7 linked regions of the Macaca mulatta genome follow. The protein of the gene in region 3 purifies or fractionates together with the protein of the main gene of each other region. This does not show direct contact. Links are inferred from orthologs where the notes say so. Each region holds a gene or a part of one and is shown on either strand. Other genes may lie near its edges.

The links.
Region 1: the proteins of PPP1CC (region 3) and UXT purify together in Homo sapiens (affinity purification with mass spectrometry; 4 studies listed by BioGRID and IntAct, counting the BioPlex papers as one, with this or other methods). This does not show direct contact. The link is inferred for Macaca mulatta from reciprocal best matches to the Homo sapiens genes PPP1CC and UXT.
Region 2: the proteins of PPP1CC (region 3) and PPP1R10 purify together in Homo sapiens (affinity purification with mass spectrometry; 8 studies listed by BioGRID and IntAct, counting the BioPlex papers as one, with this or other methods). This does not show direct contact. The link is inferred for Macaca mulatta from reciprocal best matches to the Homo sapiens genes PPP1CC and PPP1R10.
Region 4: the proteins of PPP1CC (region 3) and UBXN2B purify together in Homo sapiens (affinity purification with mass spectrometry; 3 studies listed by BioGRID and IntAct, with this or other methods). This does not show direct contact. The link is inferred for Macaca mulatta from reciprocal best matches to the Homo sapiens genes PPP1CC and UBXN2B.
Region 5: the proteins of PPP1CC (region 3) and ERBIN purify together in Homo sapiens (affinity purification with mass spectrometry; 6 studies listed by BioGRID and IntAct, counting the BioPlex papers as one, with this or other methods). This does not show direct contact. The link is inferred for Macaca mulatta from reciprocal best matches to the Homo sapiens genes PPP1CC and ERBIN.
Region 6: the proteins of PPP1CC (region 3) and ZFYVE16 purify together in Homo sapiens (affinity purification with mass spectrometry; 3 studies listed by BioGRID and IntAct, counting the BioPlex papers as one, with this or other methods). This does not show direct contact. The link is inferred for Macaca mulatta from reciprocal best matches to the Homo sapiens genes PPP1CC and ZFYVE16.
Region 7: the proteins of PPP1CC (region 3) and RRP1B purify together in Homo sapiens (affinity purification with mass spectrometry; 7 studies listed by BioGRID and IntAct, counting the BioPlex papers as one, with this or other methods). This does not show direct contact. The link is inferred for Macaca mulatta from reciprocal best matches to the Homo sapiens genes PPP1CC and RRP1B.

What each region holds. Positions count from the first base shown.
Region 1 is NC_133426.1:47,680,317-47,684,578, forward strand, and holds the start of UXT (protein UXT), read right to left. Parts: upstream 2,801-4,262; 5' UTR 2,757-2,800; coding exon of another isoform or gene 2,545-2,756; coding exon 2,447-2,544; exon of another isoform or gene 2,435-2,446; intron 2,401-2,434; exon of another isoform or gene 2,017-2,400; intron 1,487-2,016; coding exon 1,405-1,486; intron 1,263-1,404; coding exon 1,195-1,262; intron 913-1,194; coding exon 805-912; intron 600-804; exon of another isoform or gene 433-599; intron 1-432. Other genes in the region: uncharacterized protein LOC144338585, read left to right, coding at 2,543-2,756. UniProt on the Homo sapiens protein: Involved in gene transcription regulation. Acts in concert with the corepressor URI1 to regulate androgen receptor AR-mediated transcription. Together with URI1, associates with chromatin to the NKX3-1 promoter region.
Region 2 is NC_133409.1:152,443,089-152,446,588, reverse strand, and holds part of PPP1R10 (serine/threonine-protein phosphatase 1 regulatory subunit 10), read right to left. Parts: intron 2,281-3,500; coding exon 2,203-2,280; intron 2,070-2,202; coding exon 1,896-2,069; intron 1,671-1,895; coding exon 1,565-1,670; intron 1,463-1,564; coding exon 1,350-1,462; intron 520-1,349; coding exon 419-519; intron 170-418; coding exon 22-169; intron 1-21.
Region 3 is NC_133416.1:117,922,747-117,927,046, forward strand, and holds the start of PPP1CC (serine/threonine-protein phosphatase PP1-gamma catalytic subunit), read right to left. Parts: upstream 2,801-4,300; 5' UTR 2,718-2,800; coding exon 2,663-2,717; intron 1-2,662. UniProt on the Homo sapiens protein: Protein phosphatase that associates with over 200 regulatory proteins to form highly specific holoenzymes which dephosphorylate hundreds of biological targets.
Region 4 is NC_133413.1:69,099,272-69,102,771, reverse strand, and holds part of UBXN2B (UBX domain-containing protein 2B), read right to left. Parts: intron 1,680-3,500; coding exon 1,576-1,679; intron 1-1,575. UniProt on the Homo sapiens protein: Adapter protein required for Golgi and endoplasmic reticulum biogenesis. Involved in Golgi and endoplasmic reticulum maintenance during interphase and in their reassembly at the end of mitosis.
Region 5 is NC_133411.1:74,125,744-74,129,243, reverse strand, and holds part of ERBIN (erbin), read right to left. Parts: intron 3,462-3,500; coding exon 3,346-3,461; intron 1,471-3,345; coding exon 1,401-1,470; intron 1-1,400. UniProt on the Homo sapiens protein: Acts as an adapter for the receptor ERBB2, in epithelia. By binding the unphosphorylated 'Tyr-1248' of receptor ERBB2, it may contribute to stabilize this unphosphorylated state.
Region 6 is NC_133411.1:86,770,180-86,773,679, reverse strand, and holds part of ZFYVE16 (zinc finger FYVE domain-containing protein 16), read right to left. Parts: intron 1,437-3,500; coding exon 1,275-1,436; intron 1-1,274.
Region 7 is NC_133408.1:3,855,260-3,858,759, reverse strand, and holds part of RRP1B (ribosomal RNA processing protein 1 homolog B), read left to right. Parts: intron 1-417; exon of another isoform or gene 418-540; intron 541-1,880; coding exon 1,881-1,975; intron 1,976-2,688; exon of another isoform or gene 2,689-2,892; coding exon 2,893-2,990; intron 2,991-3,500. UniProt on the Homo sapiens protein: Positively regulates DNA damage-induced apoptosis by acting as a transcriptional coactivator of proapoptotic target genes of the transcriptional activator E2F1.

The sequences.
Region 1 (4,262 bases), on a different chromosome or scaffold from region 3:
TGTTTGTACTACTCTAGTCACCCGGGATATAAACCAAAGCTCCCCCTTTGTAAAACTTACATTCTAATTGGAGGAGACAATATGAGAAAGCAAGAAATTACACAGTAAATATTAGGGGGTGATAAGTGTTAGGGAAAAAAAGTAGACGGAGGGGAATCAAGCATGCCAGGGGCTGTGATTTTAAAGTTAGGTTACAGAGGGCCTCATCGAGGAAGCGACATTTAAGCGAGATGAGTGAGGAGAAAGGAAGCCATGTGGGTACTGGGGAAAAGGGCAGTGCAGGCAGAGAGAACAGCTACGGCAATTGCCCTGGGGTGGGATCATTCTTGGGGTGCTGAAAGAAGCATGTGAAGGTCAGTGTGGCAGGAACACAGTGAATGAATAGTAAAATTAGCAGGAAGTGAAATCACAGGTAACTAGTTTTCTTGTTACCAACTCTAACAGGCTGAGACCTCATGGATCTGGTCATAATTGTATTTATGTATAACAGTATAGTCCTTCTAGATTTTAAGCCTTCAAGGAACTCTTCTGTCTTGTTCACTGCTGCATTCCCACTGCTAAGCACAGTGCCTGGCATACAGAAGATTCCCAATAAATGTCTGCATGAATGAACGATACAAAGATCATTTTTTGAATGCTTATTATGTGCTATACATGGGCTTTGCAACCACATTTCTTCAGCCCCAGCTCTGAGGAGGAGGGGAGATGAGTCCTTAAGTATCATTCTAGGCAGCCATGGGGAAAGTGAGAAGAGTGTTGGAAATGGTGGTATTTTTACACACTATCCTCATGGAATGGACTTACTCTGTGAGGAGAGAGCTCTTACGATCAATGAACTTGAGAGCTTCTGCCAGTGTCAACTCCAGGAAAAAACCATATCCCAGGGCCACATAGATGCGTGAAGTATCTGGGCTGAGGAAAGAGAGGTTAGAGGAAGTGCGGGGGAAGTCCTTATCACTGTTTAGCAGAGTGTATGTTTTGCTCCCCACCCTTCCCCAAATTGAGGCTCTGGGAAGGCAGGGATTTTGTCCTATTTTATTCACTGTCACATCCCCAGCGCCTAGCTTATATCCTACTGGGATAATAAACCTCGTATAGTGCCTGGTACATAGAAGATACTCAAAAAAATATATGTTGCATGAGGGAAGGGGTAAGCTGAACCCTGTGGGCTCAGAGGGGCGGGTAGACACTCACACCACTGTGTCAACGAAGAAGTTACAGCCCAAATCCACCTGCATATATAACTCCGAGTGCTTAGCTTCCTGTGGGGCCAGGGAAAAAGAGGTAGGGGTCAGTGGTGAACTCTTAGGTCAGGTGACAGGTTTGGCTCTGGAGTCTCTCTTCCCATTTCCCTCCCTTACCCACACACACCAAAAAAATGATACCCAACCCCATAGTCTTTACCTGGAGTCGCTCAATGACATTTCTCAGTTGAAGGTATTTGGCCAGCTGCTCATATACCTTGTCTCGATGGTCCAGCACCTTTCTGATGGGATGAAAGTACAATGGTGACCAATAGGCAGCCCCATTCCTCCTAGTATACCTCATATCATGACCCTCTGAGACTCTCACGTCACCATACGCTGAAAAGGCTTTTTAGTGTACAAGTTAATTTTGGGCTCTGGGTCAGACTGCCTGGGTTTGGATCTGGGCTCTGTCCTTTATAGATGTGTGGCTTTGGCAAGTAAGGAACCTGTTTGGGACTTGGTTTCCCCATTTATAAAATGCAGATGACAGTATTACCTTGTAGAGTCATTAGGATTAAATGAGCATTTACTCAAAGCATCTAGAATAATGCCTACCAAATGGTAAACTCTCTACATGTTAGCTATTATTACTATTACTACACTCCCAATACTGAACTCCAATCATAATGTCCCATCCTCACCCTAGAAAAATCCTCCATCCCTTTTAGGATGCTCATAGTCCTAGTTCTGAACACCTTACTTCTTGCTTAGATTAACAAAAATTGCAATAATATTTCTTCATACTTATTGAACCTCTACTATGTTTCAGGCATCCATGCTACTAAATTATTTACAAAGATGGGACATATGAAAAACTCAAAACCACTGCATGGGGAAGGTTCCAGAAAACTCCCCATTTCACAGAGAAGTTTATAGGGCACAGAAAGGCGAGGTATGACGTATTCACAAGGATGAAGAATGGCCGAGCCAGGATTCGAACCTGAGAACTGTGGCTCCAGAAAACAAGCCCTAATCCGTCAAACATCGGAGGCCGCGCATGCGCTGACACGCCCCCTGCTATGAACGCCACGTCCCAGCCAAACTGCACCCCGGATATCATCACCACTTCACGCTCCAAGGAGCGCGGGGCCGGACTCTGAACGCCTCGCCCACCAATCCAAAGGGTTGGCCCTAACTCTGAACGCCCCACCCACCACGTGGAATGTTCCAGACGCCCCGCCCTCTGCACTGTCACTCACCGCAAGTCCCGCTGCAGCACGTCACTGATGAAGGTCTCGTAGCGCAGTACTTTCTCCCCCGTGGCCTCCACCGCCCGCCGCTTAGGGGGCGTCGCCATGATGGGCTCCTGGGGAGTGGGGAGGGGGAAGACCACGTTGACCGCTCCAGTTTGGCCTCACACACAGTTCATCTCTACCCTCTCAACGCTGGGAATCGACTTGTCCGGCTCAAGCTGGGGGCTCAGCCTTCCGCCCCTCCCAACTCGGGGACCCGGCCACCCAGGGACACCCAAGCGCGGCCTTTACCTCAGGGCCGCCAGCAATAAAAACGGTTGGTAGGAACCGCGGCTTCCGGGTGGCGCGGGTGAATGACGTAAGTGGCAAGCGCGCTGGCCAACCAAATAGCCAGCTGGGGAAGACGGGCCAAAGGGGAGAAGAGAAGGGCGGGGCTTCACGGAATCCGAGGAGATCAAAGATGACTAGGGCGTGGGAGCAGGCCATCTGGCAATAAACCGGCCAATGGGGGACTGCAAAAGCGGCGCGTGGAGCCTATGGAGACCGTGCGTCGCTGGTGAGGGTGGGATTTAATGGGATTTGGCGGTTCTAAGTTAGGCGCGACGCACAGGTAGAGGTAGAGAGAGGAAGTGAAGAGTTTAATATTTAAAAGGACCTAAGAATTGACTATGGTTCTGGTCTATAAGGAAGATCCCGTGTGATCTGTCGGCTTGGATATTGATTTGTCATACGGGAGGTTTGGGTTTCACTCCTGGCAATGGGACTGAGTATGAGCACTTAAAAGGTTTTAAACAGAGACAGATTTTCTAAAATTCATCTTTGATAACTCCAGCTCTGTACCTGCAACCTATAACTGAGGCTCAAGCGGAAATTGACAACGCACTATATCTAATCACCTCGTTTGATAGTCAAATGGAGAGGGTGGCTGAAGTCCTCTGCAGAATATTGGCCATCTTGTAGTTAGGCATAGTTCCCATGTTTTTATTTAAATGGTAAGGTTTTTGTGAATTTATTCTTATGCACTAGAGTGACTGAGTGAATTTGTTTTTCAGTTTAGATTTTTTTTAAAAAAATTATACTTTAAGTTCCAGGGTACATGCACACAACGTGCAGGTTTGTTACATATGTATACATGTGCCATGTTGGTGTGCTGCACCCATTAACTCATTAGGTATATCTCCTAATGATATCCCTCCCCCCTCCCCCCTCCCCACAATAGGCCCCGATGTGTGATGTTACCCTTCCTGTGTCCAAGTGATCTCATTGTTCGGTTCCCACCTATGAGTGAGAACATGCAGTGTTTGGTTTTCTGTTCTTGTGATAGTTTGCTGAAAATGATGGTTTCCAGCTGCATCCATGTCCCTACAAAGGACACGAACTCATCCTTTTTTATGGCTGCATAGTATTCCATGGTGTATATGTGCCACATTTTCTTAATCCAGTCTATCACTGAAATGCCTTAAATTCAGGTTAGATTTTCAAACAAGAACTTATAACCCAGCAAGAATGGGCCTTTGCCTGGAGAAGAATCCAGACCATGGGATGAATCTCCAAATGCTATTTCCATCTATAGAGCTTAGAGCACCCACCCCTACCAAGGAAGTCTTCCCAGATAATTTGTGTTTCATATGTAAAAGCAAGTTTTTTTTTCAAATGCTGAAAACCCAAGCAAGTTAAGCCTGCCTTTCCTTCCTTCCTTCCTTCCTTCCTTCCTTCCTTCCTTCCTTCTCTTTCTTTTCTTTTCTTTTCTTTTCTTTTCTTTCTTTCTTTCTTTCTTTCTTTCTTTCTTTCTTTCTTTCTTTCTTTCTTTCTCTTTCTTTCT
Region 2 (3,500 bases), on a different chromosome or scaffold from region 3:
CTGAACCAGTTTCTAGATTACCTGTATCCATGAGCTCTGGAACTTCAACAGGGGGAACCGGGGTGCCTGGACGGTCTATGTCCATTGCCTCAGACGGCGGTGCTGGTTCTGGGGAAGAAGGTTTGGCTGTGCTTGGTTCTGTGCTCGTTTTCCCTTCAAAGGGGCTCGGCTATTGTGAAAGAAAAGGAAGTGAACTGACTGGAAAGCCAAGGGCAAGGCAATTAGTCCAGGGTCCCAGGCACAATCCCCCAACAGTTCCTATATAAAGGAAGACTCTGTCTCCACACCGGTCTCACCTGCACAGTCTATATCCAAGGCAAAACGCCTCTTGTCCTCCCGGACAACTCCTAGCTGCTGTGCCCTTTCTTCTACTTTACCTTTTATACTCTCACTGAAACCTACTTTTGGGAGCCCATACCTTGGCAGCTGTAGGTGACAGCACTTTTTTCTTCTTCTTAATTTTGATGCCTGGAACAGGGGCTGAATTGAGAGCATCCAGGAAGCCCAGGCCCTCCATAGCTACAAAAAGAAAGAGCATCAAATGGCATCATCAGACCTCCTTCACAATCCTACACCTGCAAACACAGTCTAGGCATAAAATGAGCCAATGAAGAGCCTGCCTCAACTTAGGACACGACAAGCTCAAGAGGACCAGGAAGCACATGCAGGAGGATTCACACACGATATTCTTCTTGTTATTCTAGGTTTCCTGTGGCAGGCAAGCCATAGCTTTGAATGTGAATTATAGCTCAGGTAACTGATGAAGTGAGCCCCTGTGAACACGACAAATCACCTTGCCAGGCGCCCCTGACCAGTCACAAAATGGCACACCTCCCTATCTTATCTCTAAAATTACTCCTAAGTGACACCGGAAACGGGAGTTCCAGAGGTACAAAAAGTAAAGGGTACCAAGAAATCAAAGGAAAATGGAGGGAAATAATAAAAGAGAAGGGAAAAAAACTTCTCGTTCCCAGAGACATTCGTTCCCATAAGAGTTTGCTCCTGGCCAGGCACGGTGGCTCACGCCTGTAATCTCAGCACTTTGGGAGGCCGAGGCGGGTGGATCATGAGGTCAGGAGATTGAGACCATCCTGGCTAACATGGTGAAACCCCATCGCTACTAAAAATACAAAAAATTAGCCGGGCATGGTGGCGGGCGCCTGTAGTCCCAGCTACTCGGGAGACTGAGGCAGGAGAATGGCATGGACCCGGGAGGCGGAGCTTGCAGTGAGCCAAGATCGTGCCACTGCACTCCAGCCTGGGCAACAGAACGAGACTGTCTCAAAAAAAAAAAAAAAAAAAAAGACTTTGCTCCTAATTCAAAGTACATCTCCCCACTTTAGACTCACGCTGTGGCGGAATGATCTTCACTTTGATCTCTTTGGTGGCATTAGGTGTTGTGTTGAGTGGCTTGTATTTCTTTTCTGCAGGGGGGGTAGCATCTCCTGGAGCAGCTACGTTGCTGTCAGAAGAGGAACTGTCATCAACATCTCTGACTCACCCCCTCTTGCTCCCTTGTGTCCACAGATCCACCCCATTCAGAACCTGAGAATATGGTCCATACCTCTGACGTTTGAGGGGGATAGGTTTAAGATTGTACTTGTCAGAAACCACCACTGTGCTGGCGTTCTTCTTCACAGGCACCAAGGATGGTGTCTCCAGCTCTAGTCCTGGGGAAAGCAGCATGGTGTGGGCAGCTGAACTCAAACCCCTAAACCCCTGAATTTTCCTCCCGTTCTCACCCGCAAATGTTCTTCTAACCTTGTAACCAAAGCTTCCTCTGCTAATCTTCTCTCTTCCTTACGATTAACATATCACACATCAAATGATTCCCCCATAAGGCTCTGGGTGTGCACATGCACACGAACCCTCCAGAGGCCAGCCGCCAGTCTTACCAGTGGAACGGAACTTGGCATGACTGGGTGCTGTGGTTCGAAGAGACTTGGGCTTCTCCCTCTTCTTCTCTGGGGCCTCCTCGGCCCGGGTCTCAGCCTTCACCTCTGTCAAAGGTCGCTCAGGAGGGGTAGTTCGACTTTTCCCCTCATCTTTACGTTTCTTCTTATCTTTCTCTGTCGTGAAAAAACAAAGCAGAAATGGATTTTATTTAAACACTGTCAGAGGTGAAGCAGACTGGGAGTACCGAAAGGCCACATCCCAGTAGGAAAGAAATAAATACAAAGGATAAAGGACTAAGGAGCTTACCAGCGGGCTGAGTACTGCTCTGAGAGCGGATGACAGCCATCCAGTCGCTGACAAGGACTGAGGCCAATTTCCGGAGCTCTGCAGGTGAGAGAAAGGGGAAATGCCTAATAATGTAAAATATTCTTCCAGGAACAGAAAATGGGAGGTTTGAGAAAATATTGTGAAAATCTATGTAATGGAGAAAGTAATCCAAAGTTTTAAGAAGAACATGAGATATGCTTAAAAACCAAACTCCTAAAAAATGGAACAATGAATTAAGAGTTGTGTTCTACTCAAATAACTTTCAACTCTGATGTCATCACACCACTCTGGAGTAAAAAGACCTAATATTTATTTCAGAATATGTGGTTAAAATCTGCATTAGTAAAAGACTACACATTGGGTGCCATGTACACTGCTCGGGTGATGAGTGTACCAAAATCTCAGAAATCACCATTAAAGAACTTATACATGTAACCAAAATCCACCAGTTCCTCAAAAACTACTGACATTTTTTTAAAAAGCTACATTAGTTGCTTTACGTATAACACACCTAATTGTTACAACAATCTGAAGACTTTTTATTTTCCTTTATAGATGTAAAAACAAGCATAAAATTTGTTTCTAAATGAAAAAATACTTTTGTAACTCTTTCCTTTTGTACTTGGCAAATAACATCTCTGATCTATGGCACCTCTCTTCTGGCCAACATTTCCACTTAGAGACGTATTTCATAATTTGTCATTTAACAGTAAGATTTTCACAGAACACTAAAACATAACTTTTTGAAACAGTCATACAATTAGCAATTTCTATACCTAAGCCAACATGAACCTCAATGCAGGAATATCCTAAAATCTTTCTGGAGTAACTGATAACTATGGTTCCGGTGAGACTTAACTACAACCGACAGGGAATATACAAATTTCAATATCTAAAGGCATGATGGTAATTAAATATATATTTAAAGAGAGCAACACAATTAAGCCAGTTGGAAATAGATCACTGCTCACTTGGTGGGAAACTGGTATCTTGTGTGCCCGGGTAGAGATAAAGGAAACTCTAAATTTCTAAAGGAGACAGGCTTTGTCTTCAAGACAGAACTATATGGTCCTTGCCAGAAGCTCCACAACTCTTTTAGAAAAGGAAAGAATCAGAGCTTTGATATATTTCTTTTTTTTTCTTTGAGATGGAGTCTCGCTCGGTTACCCAGGCTGGAGTGCAGTGGCGCAATCTCGGCTCACTGCAAGATCCGCCTCCGGGTTCACGCCATTCTCCTGCCTCAGCCTCCCAAGTAGCTGGGACTACAAGCGCCCACC
Region 3 (4,300 bases):
GGGTTGCAGAGGTGATGCCATTACTTACAGAAACATTCAGGAGTTCAGAAAAGAAAAGAACTGCAAAGTTAGTGACTAAGATCTAAACCAACATGCTGTTTTTCTTAAGACTTCACTTTTCAGTTAGCTTTTTAGTACTATTACTGAGCTACTTCTCAACTAGCTTATACTGCTCTCAAGCTTAAAAGATCAATTCTGAACACGTGAAAAAGTCTACCAAGGTCACAAAAGTCATATTGCCTCTACTTTCAGATATACTTACATCTTAAAGCATTTAAGGGGAAAAAAAAAAAAGGTTTTGGGGGCATTACGAAAAGCACAAAATTCAGGCCGGGCATGGTGGCTCATGACTATAACCCCAGAACCCAGGAAGGCCGAGGTGGGAGGACTGCTTGATACCAGGAGTTTGAGAACAGCCTGGGCAACACAGTGAGACTCTCATTTCTATTTTAAATTATTACATTTAATTTTTTTAAAATAAAAAACTTGTAAAGCACAGAATTTATTACCAACATCATTTAACTTAGATATCTACATATCCTCAATGGATCATCTTCAAATGTTTCTCTGCCAATTTAACACCCACGAGAAAAAAGGAAATTTAAGTATACTTTGCAGTTAGCCTATTCCCAAGGCATTAAAATGCACTGCTTTCTTAATTTCAGCAAAAAAAGAAATATAAGAAAACCTGGTTTTCAAGTGCCATATAACAAGAGGAACTATTAAGAAACAATGATCTCATTTTAGATGTATCATTATTTACTAGGCAAACTACTTATTAGGATTGTAATGATTAAAATTAACAAAAGCTATTTATGAATCCAGAGGCAGTTATGGGCAAACCAGAACTTAAATTAGCAAGCCTTAGATGATCTTAAAATTCTAATTTAATTAGATTTAAAATTCTAATGTTTCTAATCCATGCAAATTCCAACTTTTCCTGTTTCCTCAGAGAAATAAAGCCACACATATCCCTGCAGAGATAAGCAGAATTTTAAAATTTAGAAAGAAAATATTTAACAAAAAATTCTTTTCTTACAGCAAACTATTTTAATCAGTTTCTGACCAACTGCTGCCTCAAATAACTATATTAACTAGCATGAAAAAATATGGTTCTTATATAAATACCTGACATTAAAGGAATGACAAGGTTTTCACCTACAACACAAGGTTTTCACCTGCAATAACATTTCAAGAGCATTTCAGGGGTCCTTAATGACATTTAGTGTTTTTTTTAAAGACAGCATAAAAGGAAAGAATGCACAGATTAAGAAAAGGACGAGATATTTTCAGAGTTTCATTTTAATAACTTACTTTAAAAGATCTGCAAATTCTAACACTAGAGCTGTCATGCCCTCGACTCCACCACTCACAGCATTTATAGTCCAGTAATATTTTAGGACTACATAAAGGCAAAAAGCAGTTAAAACTGCCAAGTTCCCATTATGAAGTGTCCAAGTTAAGGGGTATGACTGAATTCTTACAAAGTCTTGGATAAGATGTTAGCATCTGTTGACATGCCCTTGAATCTGAAAGCAGCTCATTTCAGCTTCCGTCTTTAAAAGCTGAACCTCGCCCCTCTCCCACATCAACATGAATCAATTGCCAGGCACCTCACCAGTCTTAGATGAGCCGAAATTTAAACCTTTCTATTAACCTTTACTAAACCACTGGCCCCCTTCCTTCAGTGTTGTCTGTAGCGAGTTTTACTAGCTCCTGGCTATCTGGGTTTGAAACCCAATTCACTAACTGTGTGACCTTGGTTAAGTGACTTCATCTCAGTTTCTTCTGTAAAATAACAAAAACAACAAAAAAAAAGCAAATATCTTGCAATGGGTGGGAGAATATGAAATCTGTGTTAAGTGCTCAAAGAATGCTTGACACACAGTAAGCCCTTTAGAAGCGCCAGTTATGATTATTACAGTAATAATTTCATGGACGCAAAGTGCTCAAGACAGAGCCTGGCACATTGGAAAGATAACGATACCGTCAGCCTTGCTGACTTCCTGTTCAGATGCACGTTCAGGAAAAGAGCGCGGAGACCTCTCCAAGATTAGAATAACTTAAAAGGATTTGGAGGGCAGGCGAAGACAGGTTCTCACACCTCTTGAGACATGAACGCTTGTTACCAAGTAACAAGAAATGGGCCCCCCAAGACCCCAGAACCACGAAAAATAAAAGCAAGCAGGAAAAGAGCCCCCAAACCCGGTGGAACTCACGCCCTCATCAAACTGCCTTCCGTGAGGACGAGCACCGAAAAGTCCATCTCGCACAGTACGGCGCACGCCGTCCAGGAGGCTGGACTGGGGCCCCCAGCCCAACAATCGCTCCAAAGACCCGTCTGGTGTGCGGGGGCAAACGGGTAGAGGCGGGAAACATGGGGGTGGGGAGCGGAGTTTTCAAATTCCACGGCCGGGAGAAAGCCTGCATCCTCGTGCAATGAATGAGTGGAGCCTGGAGGGTCCGCGGCTGGCGACAAGTTGGGGATCCCAGGCTGGCCTCCCTCCAGCTGCAGCCCCCGGCCCGTGGGCCAACTCGAGAAGCTCACTTCCCACGGTGCTGCAAGCCCAACCGGCCTCCCAACTCCCCTCCCTCGAGCCCCCGGGGCCGCCTGCCGCCCTCGGGCCCGCCTCCCCCTTCAGCCGCCCGCCGCCCCCCTTACCTTCCAGCAGCCGTTGGATGATGCTGTCGATGTTGAGTTTGTCTAAATCCGCCATCGCCTTCCCACCGCCGACCCTCCCGCAGCGGCGCCGCCGCCGGCTCGCGCCCGGGACTCACACCTCCTTTCCCACGCCACGAGCAGAGGCGGTGGTGGCGGCGGTGGCAGCAGCCGCGGCGGGTCCCCCCCCTGCCGCCCCGCTCCCTGCTTCCTCCTTCTCTCCCCACTGGAACCACGAGAAGAACAAAATGGCCGCCGACTCCTTAGACAGCCTCGGGCGGCGCACGGATGCACGCGGGGAGTGCAGCGGCCCGGCCGGGACTTCTTTATGGGCCATAGGGCGCGCGGGAGGGGGCGGGGCCCGGGCGCGGGAGGGGGCGGGGCCAGGGCGCGGGGCGGGGCGGAGAGGTTGAGCGCAACTGCGTCCACGCGCGGGATCCTTCCGCCAAACGGGCCGAATAAATAGGCCCGCCCCCGACAGCGGGCCCGAGAGTGAGTTGCAAAGTTGCATGCGGGAGTTGGGGCTGGGGGAGGAAATGCAGCTGTGCATACTGCCGGTTGCGGCCATCGCCGGATCTTGTACGTTGAGGCTAGATGTTTGCAGACCTGGCCATGTGGGAACTCACCGAGGGATTTCGGGGGTCCTGGAATTTACCCTTTAAGATAAATCTGGGGTGAGGATGGAAAAGGAGAATAATAAATAAAAGAAGGTTGACTTATTTTGGATTAAGATATACTGGAACTTGGGAGAAGAGAAAGGTTTATTTGGTAACTAAAAAGAAAAAACCCTCTTCGAGATAAGTCAAAATGTAAGTTACTCTTTGTGAGTGGTGGGTGTATGGGTATTTGTATATATATTTTTTGTGCACTTCTGTAACTTTACTTTGGAGGTAAAAAATCCGTCCATAAAGAAAATTTCATCATTTCTCTCCCTTGGATTTCTCTTTCCTGAACTCGGAAAGTTATATAATCATCGGGACGGTTATCCCGATTCTAGCCAGGGCGAAGTTGAACGAGCGCGTGCAGCAGTTGAAAGGGGAATTTGCAGATTTCACGCGTGCAGGCCAGGGGCGGGAAGAGAAGAGGCAAGCTGTGCGGGCGGTCCTGGGTTCTGCAGATACCCGAAGAAACTTTGGCCCATTCCTCTCTGGCTTCCCAGCCTCCCCGAGTGCACGCCTATCCAAGGGGTCCCCAAACTGTGCCACCTCCAGGGGCTGCGCATCGACTTTGGCCGCGTTTAGAAGTACAGCCCACACTCAGCAAACAGATCGGCTCTCTTTCCTGACCTTTCCATGTATGTTGCTTCCTGCAGCGCTTTACATTTTGCAAAGCCCTGTCTCTCCGAGAAATTCATTTTGTTTCCCAATGAATGCAGGATGCACGAATCCCCATCTCAGTATGCCACGAGGTAATTGCACCACCCAGGCATCCTCTTCCAAAGCAACATCCTCAGGGTGAGGGCTCCATGTCCTCTCAGTTGGGCCCCCTCGCTACTGGTGCAGGGCCCTTGAGTTTAAGAACTCAGCCTCTCGATCCACTTTCCTCAGGCACCAACTCACTTTCCCCTGCTACAGCTCTGTCCACCAGAAGTCACATAAGTGCCATTTGTCAGGGCAAGGCAATGAGCCCAGCTGGTGACAT
Region 4 (3,500 bases), on a different chromosome or scaffold from region 3:
ACAGTGATCTAGAATGTTAGAAATTTTATAAGACATCTGGCCTAGACTCTCTAAAAAAGTCAACATAATAAATTTTAGATTATGCAGCTGAGCTAAAAACAACAATAAAAAGGTGGGGGGAATTCTCTGTATTCAGAAATTCAAAACAGGAATAATTAAATGCAATGCAATGTCCTTGGTTGAATCCTAAATCCAAAGAAAAAGCTGTAAGAGATATGTGACTACAGACTATACATTAAATGGCATCATAGAATTACTATTCATTTTTTTTTTTTTTTTTTGAGACAGAGTCCTCCTCCATCATTGAGGCAGGAGTGCAGTGGCACCATCTCGGCTCTCTGCAACTTCTGCCTCCCAAGTTCAGGTGATTCCTTTGCCTCAGCCTCCCGAGTAGCTGGAATTATAGGCCCACATCACCATGCCCAGCTAATTTCTGTATTTTTAGGAGAGATGGGGTTTTGCCATGTTGGCCAGGCTGGTCTTGAACTCCTGACCTCAAGTGATCTGCTCACCTTGGCCTCCCAAAGTGCTGGGATTACAGGCATAAGTCAACACTCCCCATCTCGATTATTATTAATTTTGTAAGGTGTACTGTGTTATCAATTTTTTAAGTGTGTGCTGCTTCTTAGGAGCCGCATGCTGAAGTATCTAGAGGTAAAGTGTCATGATGGCTACAATTTCCTTTCAAATAGTTGAGTAAAAAAGAGAGAGAATACATGTGTACACAAGTTCAATGTAACATTTTAACAACTTGATGAATACAGGTGAAGTAAACACAGTATTTACTAGTCTTGATTTTTGATGAATTGAAAACTTATAAAATGGACTTTCTGAGAATAAGATATAATGGGAAAACTGACATTTCTTCCCCAGGGATGATACTTACAGTACTAAAAAGATGTAAATGAAAATATTCCTGGCAACAAGAAAACTCACAGCAATAAAATACACCTGATTCTCATCTCTTAAATCTTCATAGTTGGCTGTTTTTATACTTCAGGGATTTTAATAACAACAAATACTATTTAGGATGTCACACACTGGAGGAATCATCACCCAAAGGAGGAAAAGACAGACTTCAAAAATCATAGATTCTTAAATGGAGGACAAAAGACCTGCAGAGGCTCCATGGAGTGGCTTCAAGTGGCTTTAAGAAACACACAAACTCTTAAAAATGAATGACAAACTTGCACATGAAAGTTGTTTTGAGAGGAGAATTCTACAGCTTTCATCAGACCCTTAGTGAGTCCTACAACTCAAAAAATATTAAAGAACCACTGTGCCCAACAAAAATAGTATTCAGGATATAATTTCATATGATACGTACCAAAATATTAGGTATTTTAAGGTAATTTTTCCATAAGTTTCTTTTAGCTTTCTGATTGTAAAAGTTCTTAAAATAGTACCTAAATGATATTAATCTTTTCTTTTTTATCCAAATCTGCCTTGCCCTTGGAATAATTTTTAAAAATTACTGAAGAAACCTTGAAAAAGGCCATTTAAAACAATTTGAAGTTAGTAAAATTTTAGAAAGAATTGTAATTTCTTTTTACAACAAAACAAAATAAAACTTACCGTTGAGGTGGTGTCCGTGGGCTCTTGAAGACTGCAGCTTTAGGTCTGTTAGACTTGGAAGATTTGCACTTCACTTCATCTTCATACAATTCTGCCAAGGCCAACTACATAATAACAGGCTTGTTACAAAGTATAACACTAGGAATAACCTCTTAACTACAACTAGAAGTTATGTATAGAACATTAACTTAAAATTGAGTGGTAAAGGCTTTTCATGAGAAAAGCTGCTGCTTCAGATGATTGCTTTCTGAGATAAACTTACCGCATCTCATTTTATGGAACTAACCAAAACGCCACATCTATTAGAATAACTTTAAGTTATAAACTTTTAAAATATACACAAATAAAACAAAATGAAAGACTTCTAATTTTTTTCCCCCTACCCTCTCACATTCAGTAACATTCATATTTGTACCAGATTTGCTAGAAATCTGAATCATAAAAGTGTTTGGTAATCTAAAAGGACTGAATTTAAATCCTAACTTAGGCACTTACTGTGTGATCTTGGGCAAATTATTTAATTTCTCTCAGCCTTAGTTACCACATCTTCAAATGTCTATAAAAAAATCACCACAGAGTCATTTGAAGGATTAAATAATGTATGGAAAGCACATTCACATGCTTTGTGAATATCTTCTAGTGATGGAAGAATAATATCTTCTAGTGATGGAAGAATAAGATATTATTCTTCCATCACTAGAAGATATTATTCTTAAGTGTTTGGCAATGATTTTATCAGTATTTCCTTTTCCCCAAGATTTTTGTTTCTTCCCACAGTGTTGTATCTCCTTATGGTCCTTTATTACCCCATCCCCTCCAAAAACACAAAACAAAAAACAAACAAATGACAGAGGAGAGACAGACAGACATGCACATACAAAGTATGATGACTAGGGACAAAACTTTTCAGAAATTTTACCTCCCTGAAATTTCTTTAAAGTAATACTATTTTATGGATTTCCTTCTGAGTTGATTATGTCAGCTGTATGAATTACTTTTATGATACTCCTACTCTCATCAATGAAAATGTCATCTGTATTTCAAAGGCCCATTTCAGCTCTCCTTCACAAAACCTTTTCTAATTTTCTTAATGTCTTTTTTCAAATACTCATGGCACGTGAAACCCCAGTGACATTCATATTAAGCATTATGTTGTCATTACTTGTGTACTTTTGCTGTTTTATTTCCCCAAGTAGATTTTAAGTTTCTCAAATTGTTTCTAATATTGTATCTAAAAGGCAACAAATTCACGTTGAATTATATAAAGAACATAGTATAAACGAATCAGAAATAGATATAGACAGATTGATTTTAAATTGGGGTTATATTTGCTATATGTTTTTTGCTTTAACAAGATTTAAATAAATACTTTCAATCAAATAACAATTTTCTTTGGTGACATAAATTAAAAAAGCAAAAATGCCTCTGACCCCATGGAATGTGGAACACACATTAACAAAAGAGGAATATGAGGAAAATGATATTGAAGAGTCTACCTGGCTGAAAGATCCTACTTATTAATGGTACATCATTAAAAACTTAGAAAATGAGTGGTATTTAGAGGCAGTTGATGCCATATGGCATCATATGGCATAAGTTCATTAGTAAATACTACAAAGAAATTTAATTTATATTATTTAACATAGCAGATGATACTACATCAAAAGAGGAAATGATAATTTAAATTGATAAATATTAATTGAAGTACTGGTCAAAACTAACACAATAAAATCTCAAGACATTATTAAGAAAATGTTTCAATAATATGCAGAGGATAAACTATGTAAGTAAAATATTGATAATTTTTCCTCCAGAATTTGAAATGTGAAGAACTTGAAACCTGAAAGCAAAGGAATTGGGTAAGAAAATCAAGTATACAGCATTAAAAGTACTGGAATTCTCAGCCTTAGAGTAACCAATTCTAG
Region 5 (3,500 bases), on a different chromosome or scaffold from region 3:
GGAGTGGTGGCACATGCCTGTAGTCCCAGCTACTCAGGAGGCCGAGGCAGGAGAATTGCTTGAACCCGGGAGGTGGAGGGTGCAGTGAGCTGAGATCACGCCACTGCACTCCAGCCTGGCAGCAGAGAGAGACTCTGTCTCAAAAAAAAAAAAAAAAAAAAAAAAGAAAGAAAAGTACAGCATGGAACAAGACAGAACAGAACAGAGAAGGATACCCAGTTAAAAAGTTATGAAGAATCCTTGTGGGTTTCTTTACTGCATTAACACCTCAGGGCTGTTAATATAATCCAGAATTAGAATACAATACAGTTTCCCAAGAAAATTTGGCTGCAGAGTTCATAAGTATCATATGAGACCAGTGTATCCAACACTGGGAAAATAGAGCTTTAAATAAATTATTATAAAGTATTGCTCAACATTAAATAACAAGCATTAATTTTTTAATTAAGAAGATCAGTAAATTGTATATTCTATTTTGTTATAACAACTTACAAGGAATCCTTACACACTGTTGGTGGGAATATATTATGGAGGTTCCTCAAAATATTAAAAATGGAACTATCATACAATCCAGCAATCTCATTACTGGATATATATTCAAAAGAAATAAAATCAGTATGTTGAAGAGATGTCTGCACTCCCATGTTCACTGCAGCAGAATTCACAATAGCAAATCAGCCTAAGTGCCCACGAATGGATGAATGAATAAACAAAATGTAGTGTGTGTACACAAATACACATACAATCACAATGGAATACTATTCAGGAAATCCTGTCACTTGCAACAACATGGATGAACCTAGAGGACATTATGTTAAGTGAAATAAGCAGGAACAAGAAGATAAATGTCACACACTTTCACTTATATGAGGAATCTAAAAAAGATAAACTCAAAGAAACTAAGAGTAAAATGGTGGGTTTCGGAGCTGGCAGGGGTGGGCTGGAGCATGGATTGGGATATACTGGTCAAAGGGTACAAAAGTCAAGTTAGGAGGAATAAGTTCAAGAGCTCTACTGTACAACGTGGTGACTACAGTTAATAACACTGTTATAGTCTTGAAATTACCAAGTAGACTTTAAGTGTTCTCACTATAAAATATGACAAGTGTATGAGATAATGCTATTAAAGTCAGAGTTTGAGTCTGACTTCCTAATCTCTCAATATTTTCACAGATTTAGGAGAAATCAGGCAAGTCCAACAGAATTCATTACTTATAAAGCGATACCTATTTTATAAAAAGTTATGTCCTTCTAAATAGTTCGAGATTTTTCTTATATAAAAGATACATTTACACGTGTACCACTGTATAGCTGCTCTTAAATGACCCTATGTAAATCACAGTGCAAAATTATATAACACAAATAGGAACTCCATTAACTTATAAAATCAGAATGCCCACCTGATTATCTGAGAGCCACATAGCTGTCAATTGCTGTAGCTTTGTAAAGCTAAAGGGCAAATTCTTTAATCTGTAGGAAAAAATACAAACAAAAATTAAACTTTAAAATTTGAGAAGATTTAAAATGAATGAGGGCTCAAAGGTTTTCTGAAAAATGCTGTATAGTTGCACATGAAAATAGGAGAAAAAAATCTAGAAAAGTCCCATATAATTATTTGTACAGGATATAAGACAAAATATCTAGTTTTACAAGAATTCGTTTCAAAAATATTAATTCTTTAATTGAATCAATTCACCTGGCAAGAAAATGGACAACAGAATAACCTTTAAAAATAACAGTTAATTGTCCCTGCCTTAGAGAAAAGAACACATTAAGGAATGTCTCATAAAACTGCTTTGGTTTATTTGTACTCAGAACAAACTGTTATAGGAAGCACTCTTAGTGATAGTTTGATATAAAAACTGCACTGCTCTCTATTTGTGAGCCAGCAGTTATGTAATCTAGAAGACTATCCTAAGATGATAATGAGTAAAAACAAAGTGCAGTCATTCATCAGTATCTGTGGAAGACTGGTTCCAGGATCTCCCTCAGACACCAAAATCTGCAGATGCTCAATCCCTTATATAAAATTGTATAGTATTTGCATATAACCTATGTACATCCCCCCCATATATTTTAAATCATTTCTAGAGTACTTATAATACCTATTAGAATACAAATGCTATGTAAACAGTTGGTATACCGTACTGTTTAGGGAATAACAATGGGAATGTTGGTACACGTTCAGTACTGACACAATTTTCTTCCAAATATTTTCGATCTGAAGTTGTTTGAATCCACACTTGCAGAACCCACAAATACAGAGGGTCAACTATAAATACTCATTAGAATACTAAATGAAAATACCCTATTTAAGAGGGAATTATCCAATTCAGCCTTGCTATCTTATGCCTAACTAGTCTTCCATGGCTTTCTTTCAAGGTAATTTGCACAACCTACTGTGAGTTGTAGGAATTAAAGGGTCAAACACTGACTTAAGAAAGCAGTGGTTCTTTTAAATAAAACAGAAGTTAGAATAACATAATTAGTAAAAAAATTGAGTTTAAATTAAAGCTCTACCTTATAAGCTATGTGAGTCACCTTAAATCTGAGTCTTAAAACCCTCCTACATAAAATGGCAATACTATTATACTATTTCATAGAGCTGTTTTGAAGACTTCACAAGACACTATGAAAGCAAAAAGTGAAAACACTCTACAAATGCAGTTGAATCATCATTAGTATGTTTACCTCAGGAAAAAGTATGGACATTCTGTTTTTAACTTAAACATTGTTCCAATTTACAACCTTAGTGATCAATTTGCTCTGCATCTTGGCTTTGCTGAAACCAGATTTCTGTCCAGAAAAATATTAGCAACAGACTAGATACATTCCAAAATTGTTTTGTTAAATAGCAATATTAAGGTGAAGATGTGACTTTAGGAATAAAAGGTAACTGTAAGGAGAGAATAAGGAATATATAGCTAAGTCAACCCACAATGAACAGTAACAACCACCGTATGATAAATTAACATCAGAAAAATTAGACCACTCCTTGTATTTAAAGAAAAAACAAAAATACACACTTAAGACCTCATTTAATGTTACTGATAAGTTCCTGGAAACCACAGCTTTTGCAAAACTGTGTATGGCAGGTCCTCAAATAATGTCATTTTCTTAAAACACTGATGAACGAAAGAAGTGATTTCATTATAAGAAGTGATTTCATTATATGTTGTTTCACTGAAAGTCACACTTTCCAAGAGCCTATCAGTAACATTGAGGACTTACTATGTATATTTAAAGAGAAACAAGCACTAGTTATTCTATTATATATCATATGAAACTTAATTTCATCTAACCAACATCTCCTATAAACCAACTGATGAATATAGTATCACAAACCTATTGTCACTTAAATTAATGACTTTTAATTTTTGCATATCACCCATTTCCTCTGGAAGTGTCTCAAGTTTATTGGAATGGAGAAACAGCACAGTTACATTTTTCCAGCTTCCAATCTGAAAGAGAAATATAAACTGAGGATCAAAAAATTTGGC
Region 6 (3,500 bases), on a different chromosome or scaffold from region 3:
ATCAGCATAAACATTTTTCTCTTTTCTTACAAAGCATCCATAGAGGAAGGTTATGAAAATCTCTGCCAGATGATTTTAGAACAATATTTTTTTTAAAAAAAGGTTCAATGTCTACTTTCCAGAACATAATAAAGATAACTCTGAAAAAATTGGAATTATATATATTTTTTGCAATGTAGGTAGACATATTAAATAACATATCTTTTTTGTATTTGCAATATTTTTATAATTTAATCATTTGGGTTATCAATATAAGAATATGCACATATTTTCAAACACAAATTATTCATCTTTAGGCTATAATATACAACCATATAATGCTGAGTCTCCTTATTTCATTATAATAAATGGAAAACAGTTACTGAGTAATAAACTGAAGTCCACAAAAATACAAGGATCCAAATTTGCCTTTATCTGACATTTATGGTTTTTTTCCAGCATGTAAGAGACTAATAATTCATATTTAAAGACATACATGTGCCTTACTCAAGATGCTAATTGATGACGGGTTGTAAAAAGGAGCAGATAACTCAATGATTTAAAAACAGATTTAAAAAACATTATTACTGTGGTAAAATACACAACTACAAATAGGTTTTTAATGAAAAGGAGATAGAACAATTATTTACGTATTGCCTCTCAAACCCAAGCTCACCCTCTAAACTGGGCTCTTGGATGCCAGGTTGGAAGTCTGGAAAGTGCAATTCCCAGACTCTCGTTACTGGCTTTGGTCAGCTTTTTCCAATAGCAGGCACTGGTGGGAGACCATAAGGTGGGAAGAAATGAGAAGGAATTCTTTGTTTCTGGATCCTGCCAGGATCTTTGCAGCAGCAACACCGCTAGATACAGCTGCTAGACTCATGATTTTCAGTACTCCTAACATCAAATCTGGAGCTCTACTTTAGTCATCTGAGCACCAACTCTATGAGGCCTCTTGATGGTGCTGTGACCATGGCTTCTGACTCCAACATCTGCGATCCAAACACCTCCTGGTGCTCCTACACTGAGCTCTAGCCTCTCCCCTTTTGTAGCCCCAAACTCCAGTTGTGGTGGTTGCTTCCTGCAGTTACTAATTGCTGAGGCACTTGAGCACAGCCTTTTTGCTCTTCCAGTCTTCCAGCCTGCATGTGTAACCAATTCCCTGTATTAAATCCCTCTTGATATTTAATCTGGTTTCTCTTTCCTGACTACATTAGAGAATTTCTGGCTACATTAGAGAATTTCTATTTTGATAATTTATCTTTAGTCTTAGACACAGCATTTTCTTCTATTACCTTCAACATTTGGTTGTTTAAGTGCTGAGACTGGCAAAGTTGTTGGTGAAGGTATACTGGACGTCTGGTTCTCCTGAGGAGGCTGGACAATAGTACATTCGTCGGAATGATTAGATTTAAGATTAGAACCAGTTGGACTCATCATCCTTTCAAATGCCTGAGCTATAAAGGGGAAAACAATAGTGTTAAAATCTCAGATGTTTTTGTAATTTACCTCAAAGTAAATTTCAATAAATATTCTATTTTTCAAGTTGTAACGAGAAAGAAAGAAATGGCTAATCAAGAAAAAGAAGTAGCACTTGGCAAAGATACTGTCTGAGTTGGCAGCATGCCACTTTGATAAGCTACCAATAAGTTATTTCAATATTATATCTAAGGTGTATATTTGATATCCACAGAGAATAACCCTTATTTAACATGACTATCTCTGTTTTCGTCCTTGTACCCCTAGAGTCTATTTCCAACATAGTTTAGAGAGATTCTTTTAGACATAAATCATATCTCATTATTCCTCTGTTTAAAATCTTTTAATGGCTAACTAAAGTGAAAATTTAAGTTGTTACAATGGCTCACAAGACCCAACATAATTCATCCCTACCTCCTCCACTTTCCCAGTTACATGTTTGACCTCATCTCTCACTACAATGCCACTCATTCGCTATGGTCCAGCCACCTAGACCTCCTTGTTCTTCAAGTAAGTACTCCTACAGCTTAGAATCTTTGCTCCTATTATTCCCTTGGCCTAGAATGTTCTTCTCATACTCACACAGCTTTATTATCTCACCTCCTTCAAGACTCTGCTCACATGTCATATTACCATAAAGCCTTACTCTGACCACATTATAAAAAATACTACCTAAGGCCAGGCACAGTGGCTCACGCTTATAATTCCAATACTTTGGGAGGCTAAAGCGGGTAGATCACTTAAGCTCAGGATTGCTTTGAGACCAGCCTGGGCAACATGGTGAAACCCCATTTTTATCATAAATACAAAAAATCAGCTGGGCGTGGTAGTGTGTGCCTGTGGTCCCAACTACTAGGGAGGCTGAGGTGGGAGGACTGCTTGAACCTGGGAGATGGAGGCTGCAAAGAGCTAGGTTCGCACAATTATACTCCAACCTGAGTGACAGAGTGAGACTCCATCTCAAAAAAAAAAAATTCCTTTTGCCACTAATCTGTTAACTATCTATCACTCTTACACTTTTAAAATTTTTTAATTGAAGGTAGTATCACCATCTGATATCTTTTTGTTTACTATCCATCTCTACATACATTCATAAATTTCATGAGAATATGGCTTCTATTTTGCTCTCAGCTTGAGCTTCAGAATGCAGAATAGTGCCTGAACACTGCTGAGTGATTCTTCATCCAAAAAACAAGGTACATTGATAGCTCTCCCTTCAGCATTTCTCCAAACTGATCTGCTATAAATGTTGCCACTGCTAAAACAATCTTCCTCAAGTGCCACTGAATGATGGCACTCATAAAATGGCTTCCATTAACCAAGTGAAGTCCAAACATCTTACTCTCAATTTCAAAGTAATTTCTAACTTGCCTCAAATCTACTTATTGACATTCACATGTGCGCTTCCTTGAAACTCACATAATCTCAGGACAGCTTTCTCATTATCTACTATCTCTATTCAAATTATCTTTTTCTTCCAATCTTTCACGTAGTGTGTCTCACAACCCATGAACCATCTTTCTCTTCTCATTTGATATCATTATTTTAAATGATCACTTCTATTATTTTCAACCCTAAAGCTGATATTAACTTTTATTTATGCTTTCCTGTGGCATATAAATTAATAATAAATAGCACCGTAAATGAAACTATATGCTATATCAAAATAGAATAAATTTAAATAGATAACTAAATAAACTAATTCCACAGTATTTTCTTTGATAAACCAAAGCTTGATTTCAGTATTCTACTGAATTTCTTTAATGATCATATCTTCTCCCCTCCTGGACCCTTAGAGTCAAAATATGTCTGAATGCTCACCCAAAAATCTGACCTGTCAACATAAATAACGTTTCAAATCCTCATGGATGTTTAATTTCTTTTTAATGGGGGAGATAATTATGTGGGAGCTTGCTCTAAAATTTCTGAATTCTAGCAGATTGCCTTGGCTAACAGCACCAGCAGTCATCTTCTAGGCTACTGAAACAGCATAAGAAAAAACAAAACAACTATAAGCACTTAAACTGACCTCTTCATAAACA
Region 7 (3,500 bases), on a different chromosome or scaffold from region 3:
CAATGGTGCAATCTCGGCTCACTGCAACCTCCGCCTCCCGGGTTCAAGCGATTCTCCTGCCTCAGCCTCCCGAGTAGCTGGGATTACAGACATGCACCACCATACCATGCCCGGCAAAATTTTTATCTCCCTGTTGGTCAGGCTGGTCTCGAACTCCTGACCTCAGGTATTCCACCCGCCTGGGCTTCCCAAAGTGTTGGGATTACAAGCGTGAGCCACTGTGCCCAGCCAAGAATCTTTAAAAGAAAGAAAAAATACTCTGGCCAGGCATGGTGGCTCACACCCATAATCCCAGCACTTTAGGAGCCTGAGGTGGGAGGATCGCTTGAACCTAGGAGTTGGAGACCAGCTTGGGCAACATAACAAGACTCTGACTCTATAAAAATTTTACAATTAGCCAAGCATGGTGGCACATACCTGTGGTCTCAGCTACTCAGAAGGCTGAGCTGGGAGGATCAGTTGAACCTGGGAGGTTGAGGCTGCCGTGAATCATGATCATGTCACTGCACTGCATCCTGGGCAACAGAGCTACCAGCGCCCCTGTCTCAAAAAAGAAAGAATAAAAGAAATAGTCTAGTCTGGGTGTGGGGGCTCATGCCTATAATCCTAGTACTTTGGAAGGCCAAGATGGGAAGATCACTTGAGCCCAGGAATTTGAGACCAGCTTGGGCCACATAACGAGACCCCCATCTCTAAAACAAAATAATAAAAAAAGAAATAGTCTGATTTTAAGTTTGGTGTAGATAACAGAGTTGACTAAGGACCTGGAGCAAGTGTTACGTGGTCATGGGACCACATGGGAGTAGTCTCTGGGTCCCTCTGCTCCCCACATTTCTGTCAGCCTAACCTGGACACAGACTCTCTTCCGAGTGCAGTTCCAGACGTTCCCTCCCAGTTACGTTCATCAAATGCGTGCTGCACCTGCCCCATCCTCCCCAGGCCTCGCCCTGATGCCACACCACTAATAAGCTTAGAGGGTTCCAGAAACAGTACATGTTTAAGATAATTTTGAGTTCTCCTGAGTCTGTTTAATCTGCTTCTTCATAAGCTGTAACACTCTGAATGTTTTAAGTGCTAAAAGTTGCGTTAATATTGACTTGTGTTTCCTGAAGCGTGCTCATGAAGTGACCGTACTGCTGTGACAGGTTCTCACCAAGGCCCTAAACTGACCTGAGACTAGGGCCAGACTCCTGCATCCATGCTTCTACCCCTGGTGGTCCAGGGCGATACAGTGTCCCATCCGCTTGCCTGCGTCCCTGGACAGGAGCTTCCCATTCACCACAGCCTTCGTCCTAACCGGACAGTGTGTGGGGGAGGGAATCATCGAAGGCAGCAGGGAATTGGGGTTTTATGGGTGCAAAAGGCAAAACATGTGCTTTTTCCCAGACTTATTTCCATTCCCATAGCCTGAACAATCAAAATGTCCTGGGAAATTATAAATGTCTTTGCAGAGTTTTTCTCCTGAAAGAAATTTTCTTTCGTTTTTTATTTTTTTGAGACGGAGTCTCGCTGTCACCCAGGCTGGAGTGCAGTGGCGCGATCTCGGCTCACTGCAACCCCTGCCTCCTGGGTTCAAGCGATTCTCAAGCCTCAGCCTCCTGAGTAGCTGGGATTACAGGCACCCGCGACCACGCCCAGCTAGTTTTTGTATTTTTAGTGGAGATGGGTTTTCGCCGTGTTGCCCAGGCTGATCTAGAATTCCTGGCCTCAAGTGATCCACCCACCTCAACTCCCAAGGTGCTGGAATTACAGGCGTGAGCCACCGTGCCCAACCTTCTTTTTTGTTAAGAGACACCTAATTAGACAGTGGCTTCTGTGGAAGTAGTCACTTCTGTGTATTTGATATGTCAAGAATTTGGTCTCTGGGTATATTTTGACAGCACTGGGCAAAAATCATTCCAGAAAAGATGGACTCAGTGATGAAAGAGGAAGAGATGACTGCGGAACCTTTGAGGACACAGGACCCCTTCTCCAGGTGGGTGGCAGTTGTTGCTTTTTATAGAATATGGATTTGCTATGGAGTAGCCTGACTACAGAATTAGGGTCACAGCTAGTTAAGCTGTAAGGCCTGAAATGTAAACTCCTTTTTAATCCCTTCAGTCACTAAATGTCACCTTCCTGAGAATAACCTTATTGGAGACAAGGAAATGTAAATACAATGGGGTTTTGAAAGAGATAGTAGCACTTATTTTGAATGGCTAAGCTTTGCTCTGTTCTCTACCACGGAGCCAGCTCTAGTGGCACTTGTCAAATAAAAAAAAGTTTGCCAAGTACAGATTGCAAATCTAGCTTCAGTTTAAAAAGAAGCACACCCTCCGGCCGGGTGCACTGGCTCACACCTGTAATCCCAGCACTTTGGGAGGCCAGGGTGGGCAGATCACCTTAGGTTAGGAGTTTGAGACCAGCCTGGCCAACACAGTGAAACCCCGTCTCTACTACAAATTCAAAAACAAATACAAAAACGCAGCCACGCGCACCTGTAATCCCAGCTACTCGGGAGGCTGAGGCAGGAGAATCACTTGAACCCGGGAGGCTGAGGTTGCAGTGAACCGAGATCATGCCACTGCACTCCAGGCTGGGTGACAGAGACTGCGCCTCAAAAAAAAAAAAAAAAAAAAAAGCACACCCAGGTAAATTTTGTTGTGGGTACTCTATCACAATTAAAAAAAAAAAAAAAGAATTACTTACCCAGCTTCTCCCAAGAATAAACAGAACACGCATTTTTCAAAGGTAGTGCTTGTGCTCCTGGTGGCCAAGTCCCAGCATATGCTTGTTTAGCCTGTCTGTTGCCAAATGCTTCAGTAGGGGCTTCTCTTACTAGCAGATGTAAATGTCCAAGTCAGGCAGGGTTGTTTGGCTGCAGACTTATGTTTAGTTTCTCTTCCTGCCTAGTTTGACTATAAGGCTGTTGCTGATCGACTCCTGGAAATGACCAGCAGGAAGAACACGCCCCCCTTCAACAGGAAGCGCCTCTCCAAACTCATCAAGAAGTCAGTGACTGGAGGGAGGGTTCTGACATCATCATTCCTTTAGTTCCCATCTCCTGGTGTGGGACAAGCCATCTGCATGCTTATCTTTTTTCTTTCTTCTTTTTTTGTCCTTTAATGCATTTGTGCATAGCAATGTAATAGACACATGTAAACTGAAAAGCTTAATGGAAACAGCAGTCCCACCCCTCAGGTTCCATTCTTCCAGTGCAGCCATACTCATCTCTTAGCTGCCTTAGAGTGATGTGAAGTCTATTCATGTGTGAAATGAACCAACCAGAAACTGATGTGAAGCTGCTATTTAGGTGTCTTCTGCTGGTGTGCTACTGAGATAGATAGGGTTAATTCTTTACCTCTCCCCTCCCTCCCATGTGGCTATGCCAAAAGTGTTAGTTAATTCAGCTGTCAGTGTTGACATCACTCTGACCATAGTGACATGATGACCTGGAATTCACGGAGGGCCTCATGCGTGGCTTGCTGTCATCGGTCACAACTGTCTGATCACACTCTAGG